Elephas maximus indicus: one gene and its partner. The protein of the gene in region 1 purifies or fractionates together with the protein of each later gene. This does not show direct contact. Links are inferred from orthologs where the notes say so. Each region holds a gene or a part of one and is shown in the gene's direction. Other genes may lie near its edges. The genes, in order: VPS4A and ZFYVE19.

Region 1 (7,499 bases):
CAGTTTCAGATTTTTTTCCTGTAGTATAGTACTCCAGTGTTATGTTTACAATCTCTTGGATGAGTGCAGCATTATAAGACCTTGATGCCCAAAGAATCTATTTCCCTTTTGGTACCAGATCCAAGGTCTTCTAGCAAATAACATGGCAAACCACTACGTACGAAGGCCTACTTTGGCTAATCTGTGCAAATTCTGATCATACCCACTCATATGTATTCTGTTCCATACAACTTTCATTTTTGTTAAGTATTAAGGCTTAGAAAGAACAATACTTCTACAAAGAATTAAAATTATATGATATTGTTTTTTCTTTTTAGAATCCTTTATTTAAACAAGACTTCTTTTAAAATCTTGTTTAAGGTTTAAGTTTGAAATCTTCTGGTGTCACCAGGCTACCAAATCAAAAATACGTGGCGTAAAACAAGGTGGTATTTTTGTTCTTAATTAAAAAAAGCTTTATGTGTACTCTATAAATATAGATGCATAGACAACACTTCCTTTTGAGTTGCAAATCAACATATAACATTGTACATTACAATGAAAATTTGTAACTTAAGGGTATTATATATATAAATACATATATACCTTTGTAACCTTTATACTGTAAATAAAAAATTGCTTTTAGATTTGCATTTTTTCTTTTTTTTTTTGTTGGAATAGTTTCAAACCTATAGGAAAATTTCAAGAACAATAAAAAGAACTCCTACATCCCCTTTACCCAAATTCCCCAATTGTTAACAATTTACTAAATTTATCTTTTTCTGACATGAAACCCTATCACCTGTAAATTCTCTAGTGTGTACCTCCCAAAAGCAAAGACACTCCCACACTGCCACTATACAACCCTCCCAATCGGGATACCAACATTGGTGCCACACTGCCATCCGATCCCATTCAAATGATGTCAACCATCCCAACAATGTCCCTTTTTCCTTTCTGGTCCAGAATCCTATCCAGTGCCACATGTTGCATTTGGTTGTCATACCTCATCAGTTTCTTCAGTCTGGAGCAGCGACCCGGTCTTTTTTCGAATTCTCATGTCCTTGACAATCTTACCGAGCTTAGGTCTTTCGTTCTGCAGGATGACCCTCTGCCTGGTTCCATCCCATATGACCTCATTATAGATCAGGTCAGGAATTCTGGGCAAGAATACCAAAGAAGTGATGCTGTGCCCTTCTCAGAGTATGTCACCTCATCCCACACTGGTGATGCTAACTTTGATCACCTAGTCAAGTTAGTGTCTCTACCATTTTTCCCTGTGTATTTGATTAGCATTTTTGTGGTGTAGGTATTTTGATACTATGCCAGTATGCTGTTCTTCATCAGACCTCCACCCACTAGCCTTAGCCTCCGTTGATATAGAACCCTGGTGGCACAGTGGTTAAAGCCCTTGGCTGCTAACTGAAAGGTCGGTGGTTCAAACCCACCAACTGCTCTGCAGGAGAAAGATGTGGCAGTCTGCTTCCGTAAAGATTTACAACCTTGGAAACCCTATGGGGCAGTTCTACTCTGTCTATAGAGTGGCTGTGAGTCTGGAATCGACTCGACAGCAGTAGGTTTACCTGTATTGTCTACCATTGTGATGGTTACCAGATGGTGACTATTACTATCATTCCTTCTACATTTATCAGTTAGCATTCTATTGTAAGTAAGAATTTCCTCTCCCCCTCCCCCACACATTTATTGATTGATTGATTGATGTTAAAGATTCTTGGATTCCTATTTTTTAATTGGTTAACAATTTTAAATGGGATTAACAATATATTTATTTTTATATCCCAAAAGAATTCTAGATTTAGCCAGGGGGATCCTCTTCAAACTGGCTACTGTGTCCTTTTGATATGGACCCATCATTCTTTAAACATTTATTTCTGGCACAACAAAGACTCATCTTGTACTTTCCTGCTCCAGGCCTGAAATCAGCCGTTTCTCCAAGAAGCCTACTGTAATATGGCTTCTGCCTCCATCACTTCACTGAAACTTCCCAGGCTGAGGTCATTGGGGTCTTCCATATCATTGCCTCCTTCTCAGCTGCATTAGGTACTTCTGTCCCTTACCTCCTTATCAACAATCCTCCCCCTGAGACACTCCTCCCCTGACTACCAAGACACTCTTCTGGCCTACCTCTCCAGCTCTCTTTCTGAGCTTCTTTTGCAAGCTCACCCTCCCCTGGTTGGCCAACAAACTTTAAAGCTCACTCCTCCCCTCACCCTACACGCTAGTCTTCCCTAAGAGTTCTCACTCACATAGCTTCCATTCCTACTCGTATCCAGATGTCTCGCAGATGTGAACCTCCAGCCCTCATCTTCTGAGTTTCTGATGCAGTATATCCAGCTGACACTTGTTTTTACAGGGATATTTCAAAAGCACCTCACATTCAAGATCTTCACCCACCATCTCTCAAACCTGGCCTTTGTTCAGTGTTCTCTATCTCAGTAGCACCACCATCCGTCCACCTGCCAAAGCCAGAAACCCAGGAGTCATCCTTGACCCCTCCTGCCCTTCATGCCCTGTATCTAATCCATTTCTAAGTGTTTATTGTTTGCCTTCCAAACCTCTCCTCTCTGCATACATTTCTCCATAGCCCTCCCCCTGGCCCAAGCTTCCCTTACTCTTCTGGACTATGCCAACAGCTTCATATTGCAATAGTTCACCTCTCCTTCCAATCTGCTCTCTATACTAGGTTTAGAGTCCTCTATCCAAAATGCAAAATGACAAAACAAAACAAAAAAAACTTATTTAAAATATGGTTTATCATTGTTTTTAGGATAAAACCCAAAATCTTTACTATAGCCAAATGTCTTGGCACCTGCCCACCTCCCCAGCACCAGTTCACATCAGACTTCACCTTATTTTCTGCTCCAGCAATCTAGGCTTTGTTCAGTTTCATGAAATCCACCAGTGGCCTCTCTGGGTCCTTTACACAGGCTGGGGTCTTAAACGCTAGCAAGCAGCCATCTAAGATGCATCAATTGGTCTCAACCTACCTGGATCAAAGGAGAATGAAGAATACCAAAGACACAAGGTAATTATGAGCCCAAGAGACAGAAAGGCCACATAAACCAAAGACTACATCAGCCTGAGACCAGAAGAACTAGATGGTGCCCGGCTACAACCGATGACTGCCTGACAGGGAACACAACAGAGAACCCCTGAGGGTGCAGGAGAGCAGTGGGATGCAGACCTCAAATTCTCATAAAAAGACCAGATTTAATGGTCTGACTGAGACTAGAAGGACCCCGGAGGTCATGGTCCCCAGACCTTCTGTTAGCCCAAGACAGGAACCATTCCCAAAGCCAACTCTTCAGACAGGGATTGGACTGGAATATGGGATAGAAAATGATACTGGTGAGAAGTGAGCATCTTGGATCAAGTAGACACATGAGACTATGTGAGCAGCTCCTGTCTGGAGGGGAGATGAGAGGGCAGAGGGGGTCAGAAGCTGGCCGAATGGACATGAAAATAGGGAGTGGAGGGAAGGAGTGTGCTGTCTCACCAGGGGGAGATCAACTACGAGTATATAAAAAAAAAAAAAAAACCAGTGCAAACGAGTATATAGCAAGGTATATACAAATTTTTGTACGGGAGACTGACTTGATTTATAAACTTTCACTTAAAGCACACACACACACACACACACACACACACACACACACACACACAAAAGATGAGACCAAAGCTCTGGGAAGTTAGGTTTACTGTGCGAGTAAACTTCTCCGTCGGTGCCCATGAGTGGGTTCCGACTCTTAGCGACTCTATGTATAACAGAAAGAAGTGTTGCCTGTCCTGCCCCATCTATACAACTGTTAGGTCTGAGCCCACTGTTGCAGCCACTTTGTCAATCTTGTTGAGAGGCTTCCTCTTTTTCACTGACCCTGTTATTTTCCCAAGCATGATGCTTTTCTCCAACAATTGCTCCCTCCTGATAACACAACCAACGTAAAATAGATGATGTCTCGTCATTCTTGCTTCTAAGGAGCATTCTAGCCATACCTGTTCCAAAAATTTTATTGGAAATGGGGTTCAGATACTTCGGCCCTTGGTCTCGCCTCGCTCACCTAGGCATTGGTCCCACCCCCCTATCCCAGGCCCCGCCCCAGCCCTCCCCCTACTAGGCCCACCCCGCCCTGACACGCCCCCTGTCCCGCCCAGTCCTCGCCTAGCTGCGGGGTGGCCAATCGACCACAGCGGGGAGCGGTCCCTGTAGTACCGGCCGAGGCCTCCAGGGGCAGCAGCGCGCCTCGGGCCCGACCGCTCTGGCCGCGCTCCTCGCTTGCCGTGGGACTCGGCTCCGGTGCGAGCGGCAGACCTGCCAGCTCTCGGCCCCAACCCCCCCGGTTCCCTGTGCCGGACCCAGCACCTGGGCTCTCCGGGCCCGAACTGAGGCCGCAAGCAGCACCGCGGGGTGTGGGGCGGACCCAGGAGATGAAATGACAACGTCAACTCTCCAGGTACCTCGGCGCGGCGGGGCCTGCGGGCCGCGGAATCGGGCAGGCCGGCGGCCGCCCCCGAAGCCTGGGCCTTGCGGCCTCAGCCCCGCTCCGGCAGTCTGCGCCTCCCGCTCCTCCCGGTCTGTGTTCACGTGATAGGAGCCGACGGGCGCCTTCCCTTCCCAGTCCACCCCGGCCCTGGCTGGGCCGAGCCCCGAGGCCGCTACGTGCATCCGGCGCCCCGGTACCGTCGTTTTGATCACTGGGCCCACAGGCCCCTCCAGGGCAATCTCCGGCCCTGGTTCCGGCTAGTCGCTCTGGTGATGCTCACTCCCACCTTCTGCCCCGGGTCCTGGAAGCCCCTCTGCCCCACTTCGAAGGAGCCCCAGCTTCTTGCCTGGTCTCCGACTTCTCTTCTGGTGGTGCAGGGCGCTGCTGGGGTGGCAGCACTTGGATGAATGGCTGACCCATTCACCTGGTGCTGCCAGTCCTGCAGGGCCATAAAACATAAACACGCTTAGCCTCCAGACCTGGGTTTGAATCTGCCCCGCCACTCAGTAGCATGTGACCTTGGACTGGTTTATTTGATCTTGGAATCTTGCTTTTCCTTGTCTGTGAAATGGAGATGGGAGTACCATAATTCATAGGGTTGTTGTGAGAATGGGTCTGGATTGAGTACTTCAGTTCAAACATTCGTAACACAGTGTCTGGTACATTGTTAGTGCTCAGTGTGTGATGAGGAAGTGCTTGGGGGTGTTAGACAAGACTTCATAGAAGAGGGGGCATTTGGCCAGAGCATCAAGGATGGTAGCATTCCCGTATGTGGGGGGAGGAAAAAGTGGGAATGGAGGCATGGAATTAAGTGCAGTATTAGGCCAGGAGTTAGCTGGGGTACAAAGCCAGATCCCAACCATAGAGCTCTAATACCTTATCACAAGACTGGGCAAACTCCAGTCTTCGGGCCAGATCCAGCCTGCCCAGCCAGTTTTTGTATGGCCTGTGAGCTAAGAATGGTTTTTACATTTTTAAAAACAGCTTTGTTAAGATATAATTCACTTACCATACAATTCATCCATTTAGTGTCTAGTTCAGTGGCTTTTGGTATATTCCTAGATATGTGCAACCATCACCACAGTCAGTTCTAGAACATTTTCATCAGCCTAAAAGAAACCCAGCATCCCTTAGCTAACACTCCCCATCCCCACAACCCTCCTGGCCCTAGGCAACTCCTAATCTACTTTCTGTTGGTATATTTTTGCCTATTCTGGACATTTTATGTAAATGGGATCATATAATATATAACGCTTTGTGACTGACTTCATTCACTTGGCATAATGTTTAAGATTTATCCATGTTGTAGGTTCCTACATTTCTAAATGGTTGAAAAAATAGATTATTTTATGACACGTGAAAGTCATGAAATTCACGTTTCCATATCTGTGAATGAAGTGTCCTTGGGGCACAACAGCGCTCATTCCTTTTTATACTTTCTGTGGCTGCTTTTGCACTACAATAGCAGAGTTGAGTAATGGTGACAGAGAACATATGGCTGGCAAAGTCTAAAATGTTTACTGTCTGGCCCTTTACAGAAGTTTGCCAACCTCTTTGTTAGCACATCTTTACTTTCTTCCTTAATTCTTCACCATACGTGTTACTAGAAGTGTGGCAGGACTGGCAGTATTGTTTGTCACCTTACTATACTGTTATACAAAGCTCTTCCTCTCCAAATTGAAGGTAAAGCCTCCTGCATATGGAAAAACTGCATGTGATTGCCAGAAAAATCTAATGTACTCTTAGGTGTATTAATTGAGTATTTTGAAGGAGGGAGGGCATGGGCCAGGCCTGCTGTGCTCCACCTCCTAGTATTGTTCTGGGCCTCACCTTTCAAAAGGACTAGGGACGCTTGGGTGTCCCTGGATGTGCAAATGGTTAAGCACTATACTACCAGCTGAAAGATTGGTGGTTCAAACAAACCCAGAGGTGCCTCAGAAGACAGGCCTGTGATCTGCTTCTGAAATGTCACAGGCTTGAAAACCCTGTGGAACGGTTCTGCTCTGCACACACGGGGTCACCATGAGTTGGAATTGACTCATGGCAACTAACAACAACAATAACAACATAGAAGCTAGGGAAGGAAAAAGTCCAAGGAGCTGGGGGTGTTTATTCTGGAGAAGAGAAGCCACCAGGGGCAGGAGCACTGCCTCATGTCTTATCTAAAGGGCTCTCCGGGGGAGAGAGACTAGATAAGTGAAGCTTGTATGTAAGCCAATCATCCAAGAAGGTCCAGGGCTCCTAGCCAATTTCTATTTGTAGGTAGAGGAGGGAGCTGAAACTTGAAGGTAGGAGCCAATACTCTTTTACACCTTTTTCTCATCTCTTTAGTCTGGAGTTCATTTGCCATCAGCTTGGCCTAATTTACCCCCCGTCTGTTAGTGTTGTAGTCCATGTCCTTCTGAGACATCTTACCTTCAAATAAGGAAGGACTTCACAAATGCCCCGGCCCCGCAAGAAGCTGGCCAGGAGGTTTATTGTTTACTGTGGATGGGGTTCTGGGTATACGCCGGGGGAACAGAGCTGTATCTGACAGAGGATGGTAATTTCTGGTAATGCTTCTGGTTCGAGAAGCTGCAGTTTCTAAAAGTGGGTATGTGGGTGTGGGCAGCTGCCTGAAAAGAGCCAGTATGCTTTTCGTTCAGACTGGGGCACAGGCCTGCAGAATTTATAAGATTCACAGAGACTCACTCACTCACTCTGAGTTCTTAGAAGGTTCCAGAGGACAGTGCCCCTCAATTAGCAGCACATATTTGTCTCAGCTATAACCAAACACTTTCCTTACTGGAACTACTGGTATAGTGAACTCTGTGCCCAAGCATCCCCTCCTTAGGTACCTGTCTTTAGGACAACTGTTTTCTCTCTTCAGCCTAGAGAAGCAAGTTGACTTAGGCCAGTAGAAGGAAGTAAAAGTCCCTTTAAATCGATCCCATAGAAAACCTCTGGTCAATGAAGGACTTCCCTGTCTGGCTAGCTCCTCTCTGGTCCTCAAGGCCAAGTGCACTTTCTGGCCTCCGT
Region 2 (7,822 bases), on another chromosome or scaffold:
CTAGCAGGACTCTGAATTCCCAGGCCATTATACTCTCCCCGAGGAGCCCTGGTGGGGCAGTGGTTAAGGCCTGAGCTTCTAACTGAAAAGGTAGTTAGAACTCACCTCTGTGGGAGAAAGACATGGCAGTCTGCTCCCATAAATATTACAGCCTTAGATACCCTATGGGACAGTTCTACCCTGGCTTATACGGTCACTATGAGTGGGAATCAACTCCACAGCAACAGGTTTGGTTTGGTTTTAGGTCCTCTCCCCAGGAGCACTTCCACCCCAAACCTAGGTCCTCAACCCAAGACATTCCTGTCAGACGGGAACACCCTGCCCTGCCTGACTCCTCTGGGATGGAGTAGGGAACAAAAAAAATGTCTACCTTCAGGAACTGTGGACTGTCTAAATTCACCCAAATGATGGTGTTTGGTCCCCTTCAGGCCCCCCAGGTTTGTGTGATATGAAGAAAAACATCTGCAGAAGGACTATCTCCACAGACAAAACGGTAGAGTTGGACTTGTCCCTAACTCTAGCCGTGGTTGGCACACTTCTGTAACAGGCCAGATAGTAAAAAATTTAGGCTTTGCAAGGCCCTGAATGGTCTTTACCACACATTTTGCTTTGTTTTTGTTTACAATCTTTTAAAAATGTAAAAACCACTCTCACGGACCATTTAGAAAACAGGCTGTTTGACCCCTGGAGTCAAAGTTTGCCTAACTCCCTCATTTTATATTTTGAGGAAGGTCAGGCCCTGAGAAAGGACTCCTGATTCTTCCCATTTAACAAGTATTTACTAAGACTTACGATGTGCCAGTCACCAGGTAAGGGGCTGCTATGAGGTGAAAGGACCAGATCTGGTCATCAGAGCTGAGAGTACAGATGGAGGGAAGACATGAGACAAGTAACTACACAAATGTATACATAATTGCAAGCTGAGAGGGTGCTGGAAAGGAGAAGAATGGGGTGCTTGGAAAGAAAATAACAGGCAAGGAAGTGCCATCTACACTTAGTTCTGAAGATGAGTAAAAGTAACCCAAGTTAAAGAAGGGGAGGAAAAACATTCTTGGCAGAGCTTGGGAAAGCATATATGCAGGGCTTTTATTATAAGTGCCAGAGGGTTTAAGGGAGTACCAAGATCATTCTATTTTCTGTGAGAATATATTGGAGGGAGACAATAAGCTGGGATAGAATAGATTTGAAGGAGGAAAACAAGTTGGCAGGCTGCCCTAATCGTTCACTTAGAAGTTGGTGGTGGCTTGGGCTAGACTGGTAGTGGTGGACAGGAGATAAGTGAACAGGTTTGAGAAACATTTAGGAGGTTGACTCAGGGCATAAGTGACAGGCTAGATAGCAGGGGTTAGAGGGTAAAAGGGATCAAGAATGACCCTGAGTTTCCAGCTTAAGTAGCTGGGTGATTTACTGAGATGGGAAGTCCATCGAAGGAGCAGGTTTCCAGAGGGAAGTTCAAGAGTTCAACTTTGAATGTAGTAAGGTTTAGACCCCTGTGAAACATCCAAATGGAGAGAAGTAGAGAGATGAATATATGGACTTTGAACTGTGAGACGTGGCCTGAACGGAAGTTAAATCTGATGTTGGTACCCATCACTACCACTGGGCTATATGGTGCGTGACAGGGCCAGGGTGACACAGGGGACAGAGCACTGACTGGGCTGGGCATCAGGGGATCTAGTTCCAATTCTGTCACTAACAACCTGAGTTTCTGAGCTTCAGTTTCACCATCAGTAACAGAAGGAGATTGGCCTTTTTTTGGGTAAGAATTACCTCCTCTGCCCCAAAATGAATGCACAAAACATATAATGCATGATTTCAAGGGTTTAAGCAGCTCTTAGAACCTTTCTGTGGACCAAAATTAAGAACTCACGGACTATATGACCAGATGACCAAGGTTTAGGAGACATTCAGTTGCCGCCAGAGAATGTGACAGGTGTTGTCCCCCGCAAGGAGGAGGGACACCAGAACCTAGGTCTCTCTTGCTGTCTACCAAAAAGTGTGCATTACTATGAAGCTAGCCAGTGTATTCAAAGGCCCCAACCTACTTTTCAAGTTTTATCTTCTTTTACCCTTTCTTCTTGGTATATGCTCCAGAAAAATTGCACTGTACATACTCTCCTTTTTCTTTTTTTCCTCTCCCCTTTCTTGGAATGCCCTTCCTCCATTTCCACATGGGTAAACTATGCCCTTCCTTCAAGGCCTCAAATGCCTCTTCTATTTCCCCAACTCCTCCCAAATTAGAAGTAATCTCACCCTACTCTGAACATCCACAACACTTTATTTGTATTTGTCTTAGAAGACTTACCATGTTCTCCTTTTATTGTAGTTAATTGTGCATGAATCTTGCCTCCCCTACTAAAACGCAGGGGAAGGACCTGGCACATGGAAAGCAACCCATAAATATTAGCACTGTTATCCTTTACAAAGAACCTTCTCACACATCCATTATCCCATCTAAGTGAGCTCTTGATTCCAACCACCTCTGCCCAGCTCAGGCATTGGTCTCTTGCCTAGACAACAGCTCCACCTGACCCCCTCGCGGCAGCTCCTCCACCCTCACCCCGTGTCCATTCTGCACACTGATATTGAATATTTCCTTTAAAAATCCAATTATGTTACTTCTCTGATTTTTACATATATATATATATATATACGGAAACACTGGTGACACAGGGATTAAATTACAGCTGCTATTCAAAAGGTTCGAATCTACCAGGCGCTCCTTGGAAACTCTATGGGGCAGTTCTACTCTGTCCTACAGAGTCGCTGTGAGTTGGAATCGACTCAACAGCAACAGGTATGTATATACATATATAGTTTTATATATATACATCACTGGCTCCCAATTGCCTTCATCAGGAGTTCTCAGCTTCAGGGTTCCAACACACTGGCTGGATCTGGTGTGAAATGTCCCAAATAATTTCTCAGTATTAATGAAGTACTAATTAAATGATTTAACAAATTCAGCACATACAAAAACCTGTTGCCATCAAGTCAATTCTGACTCATAGTGACCCTATAGGATAGAGTAGAACTGGCCCATAGGCTTTCCAAGGAGCACCTGGTGGATTTGAACTGCTGACCTCCTGGTTAGCAGCTGTAGCTCTTAACCACTACACCACATAGTAGGCATTACATACCTATTAGGCATTATTAACACTGCAATTTTATGACTTATAAGGGATGTAGGGTCACTATGAGTCAGAATCGACTAGACGGCAACGGGTTTGTTTTTTTTTTTGGTAAGGGATGTAGTAGACGGTTTTGGTGCCCTGCAGACATCCTTGAAGGAGCCTTGCTGGCACAGTGGTTAAGCAGTTTGAACCCACCAGTGGCTCCATGGGAGAAAGATGTGGCAGTCTGCTTCTATAAAGACAACAGTCCTGGAAACCCTACAGGGCAGTTCTACCCTGTCCTGCAGGGTCTATGAATTGAAATTGATAGCAATGGGTCTTAGGCATCGCTGTAACTTACTTCTGATTTCAGCTGTAGCTGCGGTGGAAAGTACTGCGCAAGCGGACAGCTTTTCTGTCCCAGAGCTGCTGCTTCTCACAGCTCATTCAGCCCATGAGCAGGGCAGCCCAGAAGCACAAGGGCATTAATGGGCATTAAACCCAAAAAACCCACCCTATAGGACAGAGTAGAACTCCCCCATAGAGTTTCCAAGGAGCGCCCGGTGGATTTGAACTGCCGACCTTTTTTGCTTAGCGGCCGTGGCTCTTAACCACTACGCCACCAGGGTTTCCTAATGGGCAATAAATGGGCAATAGCTGGCATTAATTTCCATCCAATGAATTACTGGACTCTCCTTCCAACCAGGCTATAACTGCCACCATGATTCAGGAAAACGGAACAGAAATCTTAAGTACAGTTTGGTCAGTGTCTTGATCAGTGTCCCATTCCCTGGCATTTTATTAAAACCTTCCTGTGGAACCCCGGGCTACCTGCCTGAGTCTTCTGACCCTCCTTCTTTTGGCCCACTAAGAAGTACAACACCTAAACATCTACTACTTGAAAAGAGTCAATGAGCTTGCTGGAAAAGAAAATACAGCCGGCAGAGTCATAGGTCACAATCCTAAGGGGGGATGAAGTGAGAGTGGGGGCGCCTTGAGACCCGGCTTGTCTTCCTCCCAAGGCTCTAAGTGGAGTGAAATGTGCCTTCAGTCGAAACTGAACGAAGCACCTCCAGCTACAGTCCACAGACAAGCGGAAGCAGAGGCTGCGACTGCGCAGGCGTAGAAAGGAGGCTAGGGTTCCCCCGGAGGCTCACCCCGGGGCCTCTCCCAGACAGGGGCCACAGAGCACGGTCACGCGGCGCGAGGAGTCCTCTGTGCGCCCTGCCCCTCCCCTCGAGGCCCTCAGACCCAGGAAAGGTCTGGGAGCCCATCTTCTGAGGCCGTCGGGCCCCCCTCGCTCCCGCCCAGCGCCCGGTCGAACCTCGAGACCGAGTGCCAGCAGCAGACGAGGTGCTAAGACAGGAAGGACGGCTCAGGATCGGCCCTCCTCGCCACTGTTCTCACCTCTTTGTCCGTCGCCTTCTCCTCAATCCCTAGCAGCGAGTACAGGTCCATCTGTAAGAGCTCTTTGGTCACAGCCATGGTTACGACCCTGGCTCGGTTGGTACTACAACTCCCAAGAGCCTAAGCGTGCGTTCGGACTCCCGAGGGCCTCCCGGCTCGGCCAGGCTTAATGGCGTCTAGCCCCCTGGGAATTGTAGTGTTCTGGGTCTGGTTGGCCTGACTCTGAGGGAGGCGGGCTGTCGTGAAAGAACTACGACTCCCAGCAGTCCCCGCCCCGCCGCGGCCGCGCTCAGGCACCCGTGGTTTGTCCAGACTCCCGGCCAGAGGCCGCAGCAGCAACGCCCGGGTGGGCGTGTAGTGCCGGGCGGTGCTGGGTGAGAGTCCAGGGGTCCTTGGCTTGGCCTGCGTGACCTCAGCTCTGCCAAACCTGACGTTCGGGAGCCAAGATGGACAGTAGGTGCTACGGCTGCGCAGCCAAGTTCACACTCTTCAAGAAGGAGGCGAGTCTTTTCTCCCCGGGGGCAGGAGGGCCAGGGAGGACGCGGAGCGGAGGGAAAAACACGGGGTTTGCAGTCCGAAGACTGCAGTGTTTACGGCCCGGTTCAGCCCCTTTCCAGCTGTGTGGTTTTGATGAACTTATTGAGCCTCAGTTACCATTTCCGTAAAATGGGACTAATGTTGCCTCGCATTCGGAGTTGTGAGGGTCCAGTGAGATCTGGAGTTGAAAGTGCCCTATAAACTGTAAAGCATGCTGCTGTCGTTTTTGGAAAGCTACGCCTTTCTGTCCGCCAGATGTACGGTCTGGCAGTTTCCTTCTCCAACCTGCTCCTCCGCAGCCCGGTCTTAGTTAATGCCCTGTGATCACTCTCCATCACACATGCCCTTTATTCTCTTCTCCATCGCAGCCTGCCTTTCCCGGGTCTCTTGAGTTAGATTACTGTCCTTCCTCCTGCCCCCAGGGCACCATTGCAAAGACATGCAGGGACCTCAGGGACCTCCCAAGTTCCTGTGCCTTAGCTATGGCCCGGGCATCTGACCAAGAGATGAGAACCAGATGGAATGAATTATGGCACACAGGGAGGCAGGATGGTGTAGCACTTAGCCTGGGTTTTGGAGTCAGAGTGGTCAGGGTTCAAATTTGAGTTCTGCTGTCCTGTTCACGCGATGACCTTCCTTGGTCTGGGCAAGTCATGTAACTTCTCTGGCCCCATCTAAAATAGGGACAATAAATGGTGGTTATAAAAATTTATTAAGGTAATGTATGTAAATTGTGAGGATTAAATCAGATGAATGTTTGGTACTGAGCTCAGTGCCTGGCACACAGTAAGTGCTTAATAAATAGAGGCTATTGTTACTATTCTATGCCAAACCAAGCCACCCGCCCACTTGGCTAGAGCAGAGAAGGCGTGGGCCCTGCACTCTGTGATTCTCCTTTGTTGAAGGGTCAGTGACTTGAAGCATGAGACTTTGTCTCTCTGCCTTCTACACCCCTGTGCCTGGGAATTGAAGCTGGGGTAGAAAGCACTGGGAATTTTGCATGAAGCTGTACTTGATTTGAATAAGAGACTGGAGACTGAGGAATTGCCCCACCTGCAGCCCCTGTCTCTCCCCAGGCGTCAGGGGCCCCACTCCTCTTCCCCCTCTCAGTGACTGGTCACCACATCAGTGTCTTCCCTGTCTGTGTGCTTGAGGAGTCCCAGGGAGGAGCCTGCAGGGGCACGTGAGAGGTATAGCCTCCTTTTCCTTCCTGCAGTGCGGCTGTAAGAACTGTGGCCGGGCCTTCTGTTCTGGCTGCCTCAGCTACAGTGCAGTAGTGCCCCGGGCTGGGAACACCCAGCACAAAGTCTGCAAGCAGTGCCACGAGGTCCTGACCAGGTGAGAGGCGAGGTGGCCAGGGTCCAGCCAAGCATGGCAGTGGACAGCTGACAGCTCTTACAGCCCTGTGCTCTATGACCAGGTGTCAGCCCAGGAAACTGGGAGTGGGGGAGGGAAGGGCGCTGCCTGGCAGGGTGGCAGAATTCTGACACTAGATTTCTTCACTATAGAGGGGCCGCTCCTGCCAACACCTCCAAGTGGTCACCACCTCAGAACTATAAGAAGTAAGTGCTGAAGAGAAAGAGACGGGGATGGGTAGAGAACAAAAGACCATCAGGGTAGGACTGTCCTCCCAGCTCCTAGAATAAATGAGCAAGCACAGGGTGAAGAGAATCCCTGTCTCAGGCTCCTGACTTCCCTCTTGGGCTTAGAAAGCAGGTCATCAGCCCTCTCCCCAGAAAAGGCGCCTGGTAGACCTTGCCGTGTCTGCTAAAGCTGGGTTGGGCTGCAGGGCAACATGAGCAAGGGCCACAGAAGGTGCCCATTAGAGACCCACCCCCCCCGACCAGATGCAGAGAAATGATTTGAATGGGAAATAGTAAGTGGTCACCTTCCTCCCTACTCCCTGCCTTCCTCAAGAGCCTCTGTCTCATGTCCCACCAGACGCATGGCAGCTTTGGAAGCCAAGCAGAAGCCCAGCACTCCCCGGAGCCAGGGACTGACCCCACAAGACCAGGTCATTGCTGAGCGCCTGGCACGGCTCCGCCAGAAGAACAAGCCCAGTGAGTGGGGGTGGGCAGGGTGGTCTGAAGGGCACAGCCAGGGGCTCCCGGGATTGGGATTCCTCTGGCCTTACAGAGCTCCCTCCCATGCCAATTCCAGAGTCAGTGCCCTCACAGGCAGAGATAGAAGCCCGGCTGGCTGCACTGAGGGACGAAGCCCAGGGTTCCATCCCATCCACCCAGGAGATGGAGGCACGGCTTGCCACATTGCAGGGCAGAGTTCTGCCCTCTCAGGGCCCCCAACCGGTAGGTGCCATGGCTTGGGTGGGAAGGAGGTCCTAGGGAGAGGGCCCAGCAGAAGCCCAGATGCACATTCGGTCATGTACTTTGCAGAGTTAGCAAAGCCTCCCACCCCCACCCCCTGATCCTCAGCTCTGCTGCCAGGCCAGGGAACCAGGGGTGAGCAGCAGGATTGGGTGGAGCACGAAAAGGTGGCCCCTCAGTCCTGTTGGGCACTGCCAGACCCACTAGATTATATGGGCCTGAATTAATCCCCTTTCCCTGAGTGGTGAAATGGTTAAGTACCATCTACTAACCAAAATGTTAGCAGTTTGAATCCACCCAGGGGCACCTTAGAAGGAAGGCCTGGCAATCTACTTCTGAAAGAAAACTCTATGGAGTGCAGTTCTACTCTGACACACAGGGGGTCGCAATGAGTTGGAATCATCTTTACGGCTACTGGTACTGATACTCCTTGGGCTTTGA

Evidence for each region.
Region 2: the proteins of VPS4A (region 1) and ZFYVE19 purify together in Homo sapiens (affinity purification with mass spectrometry; 3 studies listed by BioGRID and IntAct, counting the BioPlex papers as one, with this or other methods). This does not show direct contact. The link is inferred for Elephas maximus indicus from reciprocal best matches to the Homo sapiens genes VPS4A and ZFYVE19.

The regions. Positions count from the first base shown.
Region 1 is NC_064839.1:35,547,809-35,555,307, forward strand, and holds the start of VPS4A (vacuolar protein sorting-associated protein 4A), read left to right. Parts: upstream 1-4,244; 5' UTR 4,245-4,430; coding exon 4,431-4,451; intron 4,452-7,499. UniProt on the Homo sapiens protein: Involved in late steps of the endosomal multivesicular bodies (MVB) pathway. Recognizes membrane-associated ESCRT-III assemblies and catalyzes their disassembly, possibly in combination with membrane fission.
Region 2 is NC_064828.1:15,233,896-15,241,717, reverse strand, and holds the start of ZFYVE19 (abscission/NoCut checkpoint regulator), read left to right. Parts: upstream 1-4,793; 5' UTR 4,794-4,966; coding exon 4,967-5,020; intron 5,021-6,273; coding exon 6,274-6,395; intron 6,396-6,415; exon of another isoform or gene 6,416-6,469; coding exon of another isoform or gene 6,470-6,477; intron 6,478-6,565; coding exon 6,566-6,619; intron 6,620-6,998; coding exon 6,999-7,117; intron 7,118-7,217; coding exon 7,218-7,363; intron 7,364-7,822. Other genes in the region: DNAJC17 (dnaJ homolog subfamily C member 17), read right to left, coding at 4,521-4,598. UniProt on the Homo sapiens protein: Key regulator of abscission step in cytokinesis: part of the cytokinesis checkpoint, a process required to delay abscission to prevent both premature resolution of intercellular chromosome bridges and accumulation of DNA damage.